Linked DNA regions of Bombyx mori. The protein of the gene in region 2 binds, or shares a complex with, the protein of the main gene of each other region. Links are inferred from orthologs where the notes say so. Each region holds a gene or a part of one and is shown on either strand. Other genes may lie near its edges.

What was found.
Region 1: condensin complex subunit 1 (region 2) and condensin complex subunit 3 share a complex: the UniProt entries of both Homo sapiens proteins name them as parts of the condensin complex. The link is inferred for Bombyx mori from reciprocal best matches to the Homo sapiens genes NCAPD2 and NCAPG.

The regions. Positions count from the first base shown.
Region 1 is NC_085122.1:6,234,314-6,240,588, forward strand, and holds the start of condensin complex subunit 3, read right to left. Parts: upstream 3,951-6,275; 5' UTR 3,764-3,950; coding exon 3,608-3,763; intron 2,845-3,607; coding exon 2,674-2,844; intron 1-2,673. Other genes in the region: centromere-associated protein E, read right to left, coding at 6,208-6,275. UniProt on the Homo sapiens protein: Regulatory subunit of the condensin complex, a complex required for conversion of interphase chromatin into mitotic-like condense chromosomes.
Region 2 is NC_085114.1:10,431,199-10,436,991, reverse strand, and holds part of condensin complex subunit 1, read right to left. Parts: intron 5,477-5,793; coding exon 5,271-5,476; intron 4,589-5,270; coding exon 4,418-4,588; intron 3,551-4,417; coding exon 3,278-3,550; intron 2,464-3,277; coding exon 2,199-2,463; intron 1,674-2,198; coding exon 1,485-1,673; intron 830-1,484; exon of another isoform or gene 729-829; coding exon 629-728; exon of another isoform or gene 1-628. UniProt on the Homo sapiens protein: Regulatory subunit of the condensin complex, a complex required for conversion of interphase chromatin into mitotic-like condense chromosomes.

The DNA of each region.
Region 1 (6,275 bases), on a different chromosome or scaffold from region 2:
CGCATTTCGTTGTAAACACGTTGCAGGATGGTCTGTTTTTGATGGGGTCGATTTTTGTTGAAACTTCGCAAGAAGATTTGCATCTTTCGGCAGTGTAATCTTGTGTATGACGAAATTCGCAAAATTTAACTGACCTAGGAGGCTTTGTAGTTGGCGTAGCTTGATGCAACTCTGTCGAAGAGTTTGATCCAGGGTGTTGTTGAGATTGGCTATTTTTCTTTCTGGTAAAGACATTGTATTTCTTGCTGTTTGCCATCGAATCCCTAGGTATTCTAAATCTTGAGTCGGTGTCATAATCGATTTTTGGAAATTGACATGCCAGCCCAGATAATCCAAGAGCTTCACAGCTTCTGCAGCCTGAAGTTTTAACTTGGATTTGTCCTGGTGGACCAAAAGGAAGTCGTCTAGGTAGACTAGCACTCGAGTTCCCTTTGCACGCAGGGTCTCTGCGACCCAGCATGTTATGGAAGCAAAAAGGTGTGGCGCTGAAGCCAGACCGAAGGGTAGGCAAGTCATTTCGTATAATTGACCTTGGTAACTGATTCTTAGGAAGATTTGATGAGATTTTTTGATCGGTACGTGAAAGTATGCCTGAGAAATGTCCAGTTTTATCATCCAGTCCTCTGGTTGGAGAAAATCTGGTACTACAGTGTGAGAGATCAGTTGAAAGCGTTTTGTCTTTACAAACTTGTTCAACTCTCGAAGATCGAGAATCGGACGCATCGATCCGTCGCTTTTCTTTCGCAGAAACAGCTTGGACATAAAACTGGGTGTTTTTTTGAGAACAGGTTGCAGTACATGTTGATTTACAAGGTCCTGAATCACTTGAGACATTGCAGGTGATGAATTTGTGGCATATTGTTTGATTGCCTTGTTTAGCGGCATGATCAGAGGGGGTTTTTTGAATAATGGTATTCGGGAACCAGATATTGTTGACATTACAAATTTGGTGGCGCCCAGTGTCTGCCATCGGTGTTTGAACCTCTTTAACTGCCCCCCTCTGAATTGTGTCAGACAGTCATTTTTTCTTAGTTGTATTGTTGCGAAAGGAATTTTGTTTCTTGTTATTATCTTTGTTTTTGATGTAATTCTGTTTTGTATGTTGTTTCTTGTCATTGTCTTGACTATAATTGTTTCTTTGTCGAGTGTTTGGTCTAGATGTAGGCGGTGTAGGCTCATTAAATTTTCTTTTAAGGTTTGGCCTGCCTTTTGCCTGAGGTTGTGATAACCAGAAATGTGGCCCCCCGAGGGCCTGAATTAGTGATTTTAATTTACTATTATCGAACAAAAATTCTTCGCTGGGTGGTACGTTGGAAACAGCAGTTTGAATGTTTTTATCAGAAATGCCAGAAATTAACCTCTGACGTCTTATTCCTATGCATTCGGCCCTTTTTCCGCATACAATCTGCAGCGTTTGTTTGGATAATTTGTACAATGGCGATGATATACCAAAGTTTTCAGTAATTTTATTAAAAAGATGATCGGAATTTAATTCTGTTGGATTTTTATGGGCCCAGTCAACGATCCCTTGTAACCCCGATTGTAATATTTCCCTTTGGTACAACAAAGCATTAGTCAGTGCAGCTATGAATTGCTCTGTGGGTGCTAGGTAATCTTTTTCTTTATTAAGACAACACAATTCGTCGTTGATCTTTAGATTGCAAAAGCCCGGTTGCGCGATCATCTCCTTTAGCACTTTATTATAATGAACATGTTGCCAATTAGGCGAGTTAAAATGTTGGAGATCAATTAGTTGTTTCAATCTGTTGTCGTCAGCAGGTTTGATGAATTTTTTGTCATCGAAGTCTGTCTTACAAATACCTAGCGCCAGTGATTTTGGCTCTGTTGTTGAAGGATTTGTCAAGTATTCCGTATCAACGTGATTAACGTGTTCAACAATAGGTTCGCAACAATTTTCGTTGCTATCACTTGTTGCACACTGTTGATGCATTATTAAATTTGTAAGGGCACTGACCTGGTGGGATAACGCGTCGATTCGGAGATCGACCGTTACCTTTGAATCCCGATGTTTCTTACGGAGAGGCTCCTCATGTTCTTCTTCGCTTGACGTCGAACAGCTCGACCGCGAGGTGTCCCCATCGCGTTCCTCCTGTATACCTTCCCTCTCGGACGTTGTTAAATTTGAAACGACATCACCCCCAACAGATGATGCGTGATTCATGGTGCCTGACGATAGGACTGGTACCTAACACTTGTAGTGATTGCAAAGTAACACTCTTTGAAGCTCAAAAGGAATATTTTTTACAATCAGTAACAGATCGAATAAATATTTTAAGATTTTTCGACCTCACGCTACGAAAGTATACAACGCTATGAGGACGAAAGACGGCTGCGCTCTCTTATACTTGCTGGCCACGCCTGGCGGCTAAAGATGGAACTACATTGACAGTCTATGGTTGAGTATAGACAAGGAACGGTATAGACAAGGAACTTAAGCTAAGTACACACGGCTTCTTCATAATACAATGCTGTATGTTTTCCAGAGGCACATCAATAGATACTTCTTGAACTATTTTTAAAAACAACAGCTGATTGATACACACTATTTCACTCTATCATGATGTGATTAAAACATTTAAAAAAGTACCAGAAAAAAGTTCTAGACTCTATCTTTAAATTGGGCAAATTACTTAAGTAAATATCAATACTTACATCAAATATTACTTCAAAGATAAACAGCAAGAATTCCTCTTCATCATTTAGAGAAGTACAAAATGTAGCCACAAACTGTATTACACGATCAACATTAGCACTTGTATCCCCAAAAGTAAACAGATACATAAGGGCATTTTTGAAACTTTCACGGAATGATTCTTCATCTAACTGTAAACGTTTTAATAAAGTTACAACTTCTAATGTTTATTTTAAGAAAGTTAGAAATAATCAGTATGAATAGATTGCAATGAAATAAATCGAGAACATCATAGTACTTAATTTGAACGAGCTGACCAGCCACTTTGTGTCAAATAGTTTTCAGAGCTGATAGACATCAGAATCTGAATGTTGCAGGCATACAATTTTCATCTCACCAGTAAAATTAAATGTCTATTCTTTTATGTTGTTTTTTCATTCAAAATTCTCCACCCAATAAAATATTTGCTTCATAATACTGTGATACTTTAAAAACTTAGCCTTTGCTAGAATTTATATATTTCATCCATTAGCAGGCCGCAATTACATTGACACCTGATCTTGATGGATTAGTCAAAAAGAATTTTGAGAGCAATATTGATCCCAGTTGATACTTTCACAAATTCCACTCCACTCATATGACCACTTTTATTTTATAAATTTTATAATTTCCTTTATTGATGCACAAAACAAATAACAACCATATAAATTATAAGTTTAAATATTTAATATAGCAATTTGGATTGCAATTCAAAACAGGTGCATACAGAAAAATTATAACAACTGAACAAATGCTTAAATACCTTGTATTAATAATAATAATAATAGTAATTAATACGGTTATAGTTGAAAATGACAAAATAAATATTTTGTGCCGGTGTTTATGAACAGTGAGAACAGAAGACGAATAAAACAAAAACATTATTCACTAATTAAAGACTAGCAGCCAGTTTACCTTTCTATATAGTTTACTCATTTCTTTAACATATTTCTTGTGTTGTACAACATTAAATTGGACGTTTTGAAATATTTTGAACATTATCGGATTGTTTCGCGGGTTTGGTCTAGAAGACAGTACAGTGGTCGGTATCTCAGCATCCGTCGGAGCCATTTTTATTTATGATACTCAATACACGAAATCCTAGCACTGCATTTATATTTTATTATAAAATGACGTACTTATCAAAAAAACTAGATACCAACGACAAAATATTTGATATTTTGCCAGGCTTATAGGCGACCGTTGTTGTTTTGTGATTTAAATTTGAGTAATCAAATTTGAGTGTCAAAGTCAAAGGAGCAGCTTTTTGTTAGAAGAGGCGAAAGGATTTTATCATACAGCCGCATCTTTGTTGGTTTCAGAAATCAAATCCATATCGGTTTTTGAAAAGTATTTAGGAAATAAAACACCGAATGGAAAATACCTCCACATAGGGGCGTCATTGCTCGGTACACTGACGATCTGAAAGATGTTTTTCGGTGTTTGCATAAGACTATCTTCAAATTGTAATTAGCGCGACTCGGGTTTTGCAACAATATATTTTAATCTGTGATAACACCGTTTCAAGTAAAACGGAGCGAGTGCAATTAAGTTATTTTATCTGAAATTTATTATGGGATTACATGAAATGAAATTGACGTCGTCGTGGTCTAAAGGTCCAGTATAGTCGTATCAAGCGAGCAATAACGCCTTTCGGTTTGAAGTGTGGGGCAGCCGTTGGACTATAAAAACGTGAGAATTAGAATTTGTCTCAAGATGGGCAGCGGCATTGACGGTGTTGTTGTCTATGGGCTTCGGTAATCACTTAACACCAGGTGGGCCAGGAGATCGTCTACTCAGCTAAGCAATTTAAAAAAAAGGCATGGCGAAATGAGGAGAAATGAAATAAATATGCCTTGGTAAAATCCTGAAATATTTTCAATGTTTACATGGACCTCAATAAAAATTATATAACAAGAATTGGTAGTAAGGTGTGCGAAAAATCCGCAGCTTGTTTACTTTGCCATTTAACATGTAACTTTTGAAGACGTCGCTGCCTAAAGGATAAGACGTTCGGTGCATTCGTATCTAGTGATGCAACGGTGTTCGAATACCACAGGCGGGTACCAATTTTTCTAATGAAATACGTATTAATACATTAATGTTCACGATTGACTTCCACGATTAAGGAATAACATCATGTAATAAAAATCAAACCAGCAAAATTATAATTTGCGTAATTACTGGTAGTAGGACCTCTTGCGAGTCCGCACTTGTAGGTATCACTACCCCGCCTATTTCTGCCGTAAAGCAGTAATGCGTTTCGGTTTGAAGGGTGAGGCAGCCGTTGTAAATATACTGATACCTTAGAATTCATATCTCAAGGTGGGGTGGCGGCCTTTACGTTGTAGATCTATGAACTCCAGTAACGACTTAACAACAGGTGGACTGTGAACTCGTCCACTCATCTAAGTAATAAATAAAAAAAGTCATGCTCTGGTTTTGAAAAACAGTACAACCAATATTATAATATAGTGAAAATACTTATTCTTTTAAATTTCAAGATTCACGTGTCTACGGGTTTCAGTAATTATATAGTACAAAACCTTACTTAATATCTACATTAGTAAAAAGTCAAATGATAAAGAAAACGGTCTCACAGTATGCAATTTAAGAATTTATTGATTTTTTTTGTATACATAAGTTTAGGAAGTCTGTATTAATATTAAATTAATATTTACAAATCCTATAAAATGAATGATGCAAATATTTAAATTTAGTGGCATACAAAAAAAGCAGTTAGGTTATCGAATGATTTTGTAAATTTCTTTTAATTAATATTTATTATAAACTATTAATAACACTAGTAGAGAAAATGAAATTCGACTTTGTAATAAATAACTCGAAACTTTTTGGAAAAAGTTCCATATCATGATTTTTAATAGGAGTTGAAATATACAAATTGTCACGTTAGCGTATAGCGACGAAATACTCCTTGCGACGAAAAACGAACTTTTTGCACAGCTGCTTCTAGGTTGTACTTAGAGCCCGTTTAAAAAAATATTGAAATAAGCTCTTACTTACAATGTCTTAATTTTCTGTTATGCATTTGCATTTCTAAATTAAAGGCAATTCGTTTGTTTCTATTCTAACTGCTAGAAAGTAATAATGCACATCCTTTGAAGTAACTTTTTTTTATGAAAACATATCACAAAATAAATTGTATAAAAATATTTAAATCTCATTCTGATATGTTAAATTTTCAGTAAGTACAACTGAGTTGATTATTATAATTTGAAATCATATAACGTTTCAGAAAAAGAAGTTTTAAATAGTTCATATTCGATCAACATCTTATAATTACTATATTATTAAAATTTAAAGTCATAATGCTTAAAGAGTAATTCACACATGAAAACATTATTGCAACGGTGGCTCAAAACAAATAATAACTTTGCAATAACGTTATTAGAAAGCTAGGCATTATCGGTATTATTATAACATCTGTAATTATTAATACTTAATAAGTAGTAAGCTAGTATTATTTTAGGTATTACGTTATTTCACTAATGTTATTACTCAAGATCATCAATTAGAGAGTCAAGCTCCTTTTGTAACGACACAGATTCTTCTCTTTGCTTTA
Region 2 (5,793 bases):
CTTTAGTCGGCATCAGTGCGCCATTTCGAGAAAGCGGCACGACACGCAATCCTTCTGGTCGTGGCCGCCGGTAACTACATACCCGATCCTGCGGACCGAATATTAAGCAGTCGACGTCGCACTAAGCACGTCATTGCGGATCTTCGCGATCTAGTATCGGAGCTTTTAGGTAGGTACCTCAAGCACCGGTAATCGTTCCCTTTGAACCCTTCGACGAGTAAATTAACCCACAGACACAGCCCACTGAGTTTCTCGCCGGGTCTTCTCAGTGGGTCGCGTTTCCGATCCGGTGGTAAATTCTACGAAACACTGCTCTTGCTAGGGCTAGTGTTAGGTTAGAGCCCTGTGAGCTCAGCTACTCATTCGGCGACGCTGGCATAGCCTTCTAAGGCTATCAGCTCAGGTAGGAAAAAAATTACCGTGTAAACTTTGAGATTATTTAAACTCCTAAGGTGAGAGTTTAACTATGATTGAAATTACGAGTTGATCTTCAGTAACTGTTTAAGCCTTCGATTTTAGTTTAAAATACTATTGATATTACGAGCCTTAGTTTTCTAGTTATTGTTTGTTTTATTGTTCATAAAAAATTAGAACGATAGTAAATAAGCATAAATAATTAATGACTAACCTGAATCTTCTGAATCATTTACAATCTTTTGTTTATTTGCTGCTTTCCGATTAGATTTTCTAGTCGACACTGGGGTTTCGACGTTGCTGGGAGGTTCATTCTACAAAATAAAAACACGAGCCTTTGAATGTTTTCAACAAATCACGTAAAAAAAATTATGTAGTCCCGATTACAACCTAATTCAATAAATGATACCTAATGAAATAGTTTAATAATGACGCGGCAATAATTGTAATTTTTTTTATAAGGAAGCCTGAATCAGTACTGCAATGTGAAATTGCGTTAAGAAGTGCCATTGAAATTTAATTATTTCTTTAAAATTAAGTGATTCATAGCGTTAAATTAGTTCTGATAATACGAAAACAGAAAACGTACATGAGAATTTAATGAATTTCCCAAGGGCGCTATGATTCAAACAATGAGGCAACAATTTTTGGTTATATCAAAATTTCGAAAGAAATGGTCAGATATTGCAATAACACAATGAATAAATACCCGATCCTGTGGACCGAATGGTAAACAGTCGACGTCGCCCTAAACACGACATTACGGATCTTCCCGATCCATTAATGTTGCTTTTAGGTACCTCAAGCAACAGTCACCGTCTTCGCCGAACCCATCACTTGCGACGAAGGGCTCGACGAGTAAATAAATCCATAGACACAGCCCACTGAGTTTCTCGCCGGATCTTCTCGGTGGTAGATTCTGCGAAGCACTGCTCTTGCTAGGGCCAGTGTTAGCAACACTCCCGGTTTGAGCCCCGTGAGCTTACTTACACGTCAAGGCGAAGCTGAAATAGCCTCTCAAGGCTATCAGCACAGGTAGGAAGAAAAAAAAACAATGAATATAAAAGTACCTCATCTGCACTGGATGAAGATCTCCTGCGGTTCCTTCGGGGCGCAGCCCGCCGTCTGGGAGTGGCGCGCGGACCCGTCGCCTTCTTGTCAGTGTCGCCACTGCCTTCAGTGGTTCCTTCACAATTACCTTCCTCAGCGCGAACCGCAAAGCCTTCTTCTATTTTATCTCCCAGTTCGGTTACCAAAGCCTAAGCGGTATATTGAAACAAAATTATTTATTTATTTATTTACTACTAGCGGCCCGCTCCGGCTCCACTCGGATCTTTAACAAAAATTTAAATGATATTTGACGTTGTTTTATTTTTTTAAATAAAAGAACACTTATTGCGGCATAACTATAATAGTTAGACATATGCTGTCGCGACACTTTTTGTAAGTAATCATGTATTCTACAAAGTCGTAGTACATTATTTTATTCTATCATCAATGGTTTTCGCAGGGCACGCGATGTAAAGAAAATTTTAGGTAATTTTTTTACACCTTGGGTTACATTATTGAAGTTTTAGTAAGGATCCCTAATTTTTTTCAAAAAAGATTATTATAGCCTATGGCACTCGGGAATAGTGTAGCTTAAAAGTAGTGAAAGAATTTTTCAAATCGGTTCAGTAGTTTCGGAACCTATTCAATACAAACAAACAAACAAATCTTTCCTCTTTATAATATTAAGTATAGATTCGAAATATAGGAAGTATCGGTTGTTTTTCATTAATCACCTTAATGTCGTTCTTGGCCATTTTGGAAGCGTTATTCATAATTGTGTTGAAAGACTCCATCACTCCTTGACAATATAATTTATCTTTGTAACAGTCGAGATTTTCAATGAGTTTCCTTAGTGACCTTTCGTTGTATGTAAACAGAGAGAGACAATAAGCTAAGTCTCGCCACTGTCTTTCTTCTGTTGATAATTTGAATCTTTGGCATAATTTCTCTACTAGTGCCTCCATTTGTCTGTCTTTTTGGATTAGTGAAGTTATATATCTGCAAACATAAATGTAATGAGAACACAGCCTAGACGAAATGGAATTTTTCGTAATGTGTACGCACCACGTTATAAAGACCAAACTCACGATGACAACAACAATGGCAACACAATATGTGCTTCTCGATTAATTTGGTTAATTAATTACATAGTATCCGCAAACCCAGACAGTTAACTCGCCGTTATAATATTCAATTGGGACTTAGACCTCATGTCTCAAGGTGCGTCAGGGCATTCCTGTTATGATGTCTATGCGCTCCGTCAAGGTAATAAAAGCGTGTTAATTATTCTTCTTCATCTTGCCCTTATCTATACTAATATATAAATCTATAGTGGTTTTTACGGATGTTCCGTTATAACTACTGAACTGTGCATCCGATTGACTTGAAACTTGGTATCCATGTAAAAAATAGATGTACTTAGTGGATAGGCTAATATTTATATGAGTGTTGGACTACCTAATAATAATGACAATAAATAATAATGTTAATTTTAAATGCACAGCGAAGCGGGCGAGTACGCCTAGTCGCTTATAATTATATTGTGAATAGGGGTTTAGCATTAGTTTTACGACTGGCCACTTATTTGACGCCTACCCTTCTTAGAGTTAAATTTCCATTACAATATGTCACAAGGAGGGAATTTTCTGTTCTTCTTTTGGTTTTTAATTCCCTTTATCCGTTTATAGGGCTATGTTTTGCATTTTCATATTATAAACAAACAAAAAACACATTTTATTGTTTTTTCGGCATTTTTTCACATTATTCTAAAAAAAAACCGTATTAATTATTTTCGAAAAGCTAAAATACTAACTTCATAATAATTCTGTATTGCTCTTCAGGTACATTCAAATCCGGATCGCTCAGTCTTGATATAATATCGGGCATGACGTTGTATAGGGCGTTTCCCTTTTGTGAAAGCTGTTTGAAGAAGAGGCGCGTCATACTCGCCACTTTAGCGTCCGCGTCCGCGCAGCACAGCGCCATGTCTGCTATCTGTCCCTTCACGCGGACCATCTCGTGCAGGACCAGAAACGACAGCATCTTCACTGCACACTGACGGACTTCTAGCTCCTCGTCGCTTAGACTGAACATAATAAATAAGCAATCAGCGAGAAAACTGGTGGTACCAAAGATAACATAGCTATGTAAACATTATTTTTGCGCGTATTGTTTTTTGCCTACTGAAATTAAAATTCATGAAAATTCAAACCTAAATGCCTCCATACTAACTATGGTAACTAGGCCACTTTTACGCTGATGGCCTCATTTACACTCGTATTTTCTTCGGTTTTCGTGTGTCGTAAATATAAGCTGGTTTTAACTGGTGGGAGGACCTCTTGTGAGTCCGCACGGGTAGGTACCACCGCCCTGCTTATTCCTGCCGTGAAGCTGTAATGTTTCGGTTTGAAGGGTGGGGCAGCTGTTGTAACTATACTTGAGACCTTAGAACTTATATCTCAAGGTGGGTGGCGCATTTGCGTCGTATATGTCTATGGGCTCCAGTAACCACCTAACACCAGGTGGACTGAGAGCTCGTCAACCCATCTAAGCGATAAAAAAAAACAGTCATTACAATCACACATAGGTTTCCCATGTTGTTGTGTGTTTAAATATATACATGTATAGATATATATAAAAAATTCAGACTACGAGCAAACAAATCTGTTCGTCACACGAATATTTGCCCGACGTGGCGGGCGAATCTTCGGCCAAGCAACAACTTTCTGACTCAAAGGCGCAATAGTTAGAGCCCTTAACTATTGCGCCCTCGAGTCAGAAAGTTTCATACGTAATATTTAAAAACATAAATTATTATCGAAATGTGATCGTCATGTGGGGAGGCTTAACGACAAAGGGAAGATCTTCCACCGAGCGACTTTCAGGCATCTGTCAATTATCTTGCGTTGTATGATGGCTACCCGCCACAGTCATAAAATCGTTTCTTACTTACATGTGATAAATGTGATGCGTCCACGGCTGCGTAAGATTCGGGAATCTCAAAGTGAGGTCGGCGAAGGCAATTGTCAAATTGGTTCTCAAAGATACGTTTTTCGATCTTTTGAGTAACGTAATCATTAGTTGCAGTCCATCTTCGCACACTGAACTCGAGACTAACATGAATCTGTAAATTATATTCATATGTACTTGACGTTGCCATTAGCCATATGGACAGTGACAAGTATGTAGTGACAAGTAGTAAGCCCCACACGAGAGAATTAGAAATATTAAAAAATATGTCAGTTTAAAATAATTTAAGAAAATATACATCAATAACTAGCTGACCTAATCTTTTGTATAAAATAAACTTAAAACAAACAAAAGGAATCCGTCCGACGGGGGACACATCAAAGGAAAGACAAATTTGTTATTTTTATTTCATTCCGAGCATTTTCATATTTATCCACCTTTTAAACCTTCTCTCTGGACTTCCACAAATAATTCAAGACCAAAATTAGCCAAATCGGTCCAGCTGTTCTCGAGTTTTAGCGAAACTAATGAACAGCAATTCATCACTACATAGTATAAAACAAAGTCGCTTTCTTTGTCCCTATGTATGCTTTAATCTTTAAAACTACGCAACGAATTTTGATGCGTTTTTTTTAATAGATAGTGATTGAAGAGGAAGGTTTATATGTGTAATAACATCCATTAAATAGTGGAGAAATCAATAATAAATTACAGTTTCCGAAGCGAAGCGAGGGCGGGTCGCTAGTTTTTATATATATCAACAATGGAGGCCAATTCACAAAATATTAATCTACTGAGACTATTATCGGGAACTAGGAGTAGACACGCTGTAGGACCTAGTGAGTGCGAGCGCGGCGGCGGCGTGCAGCGCGGGCGGAGCGGCGGCCCCGAGCAGCGCGGCCAGCAGCGGCCGGTACCGCGCCAGCGCCGCGTCGCCCGCCGTGACGTCACGCTCGCACACGCCGCGCACGTACTCCGCGTCCGCATCGTCCGCCGCCGCGCCTTCCAGCCCCGCCTCCTCCTCCGTCATGGTCGTGTTCGTCTGCGCAGACAGATACGCTGCACTTGTATTATGCTGCTGTAAACTATTGTACACCCACATGACACAGATAACTTTGCGACCACTTTAAGGTTTTATTTTATTTTAATAAATGTCAATGTAAAAATTCTTTAGCGACATTGTGATCTAAAATTCGATGAAATTCGATCGATATAAACATATCGAGGAGGCGATTTGGTTTAAGCGATATTTACCTCTGTAATTAAAGGTCCGTTTTATTTGGTATCAGTATCAACAATTTGATGTTTTTAATTAAACTTCAATTAAGTTTACTCCATTCAAATAGTTGAAGAAGTTTT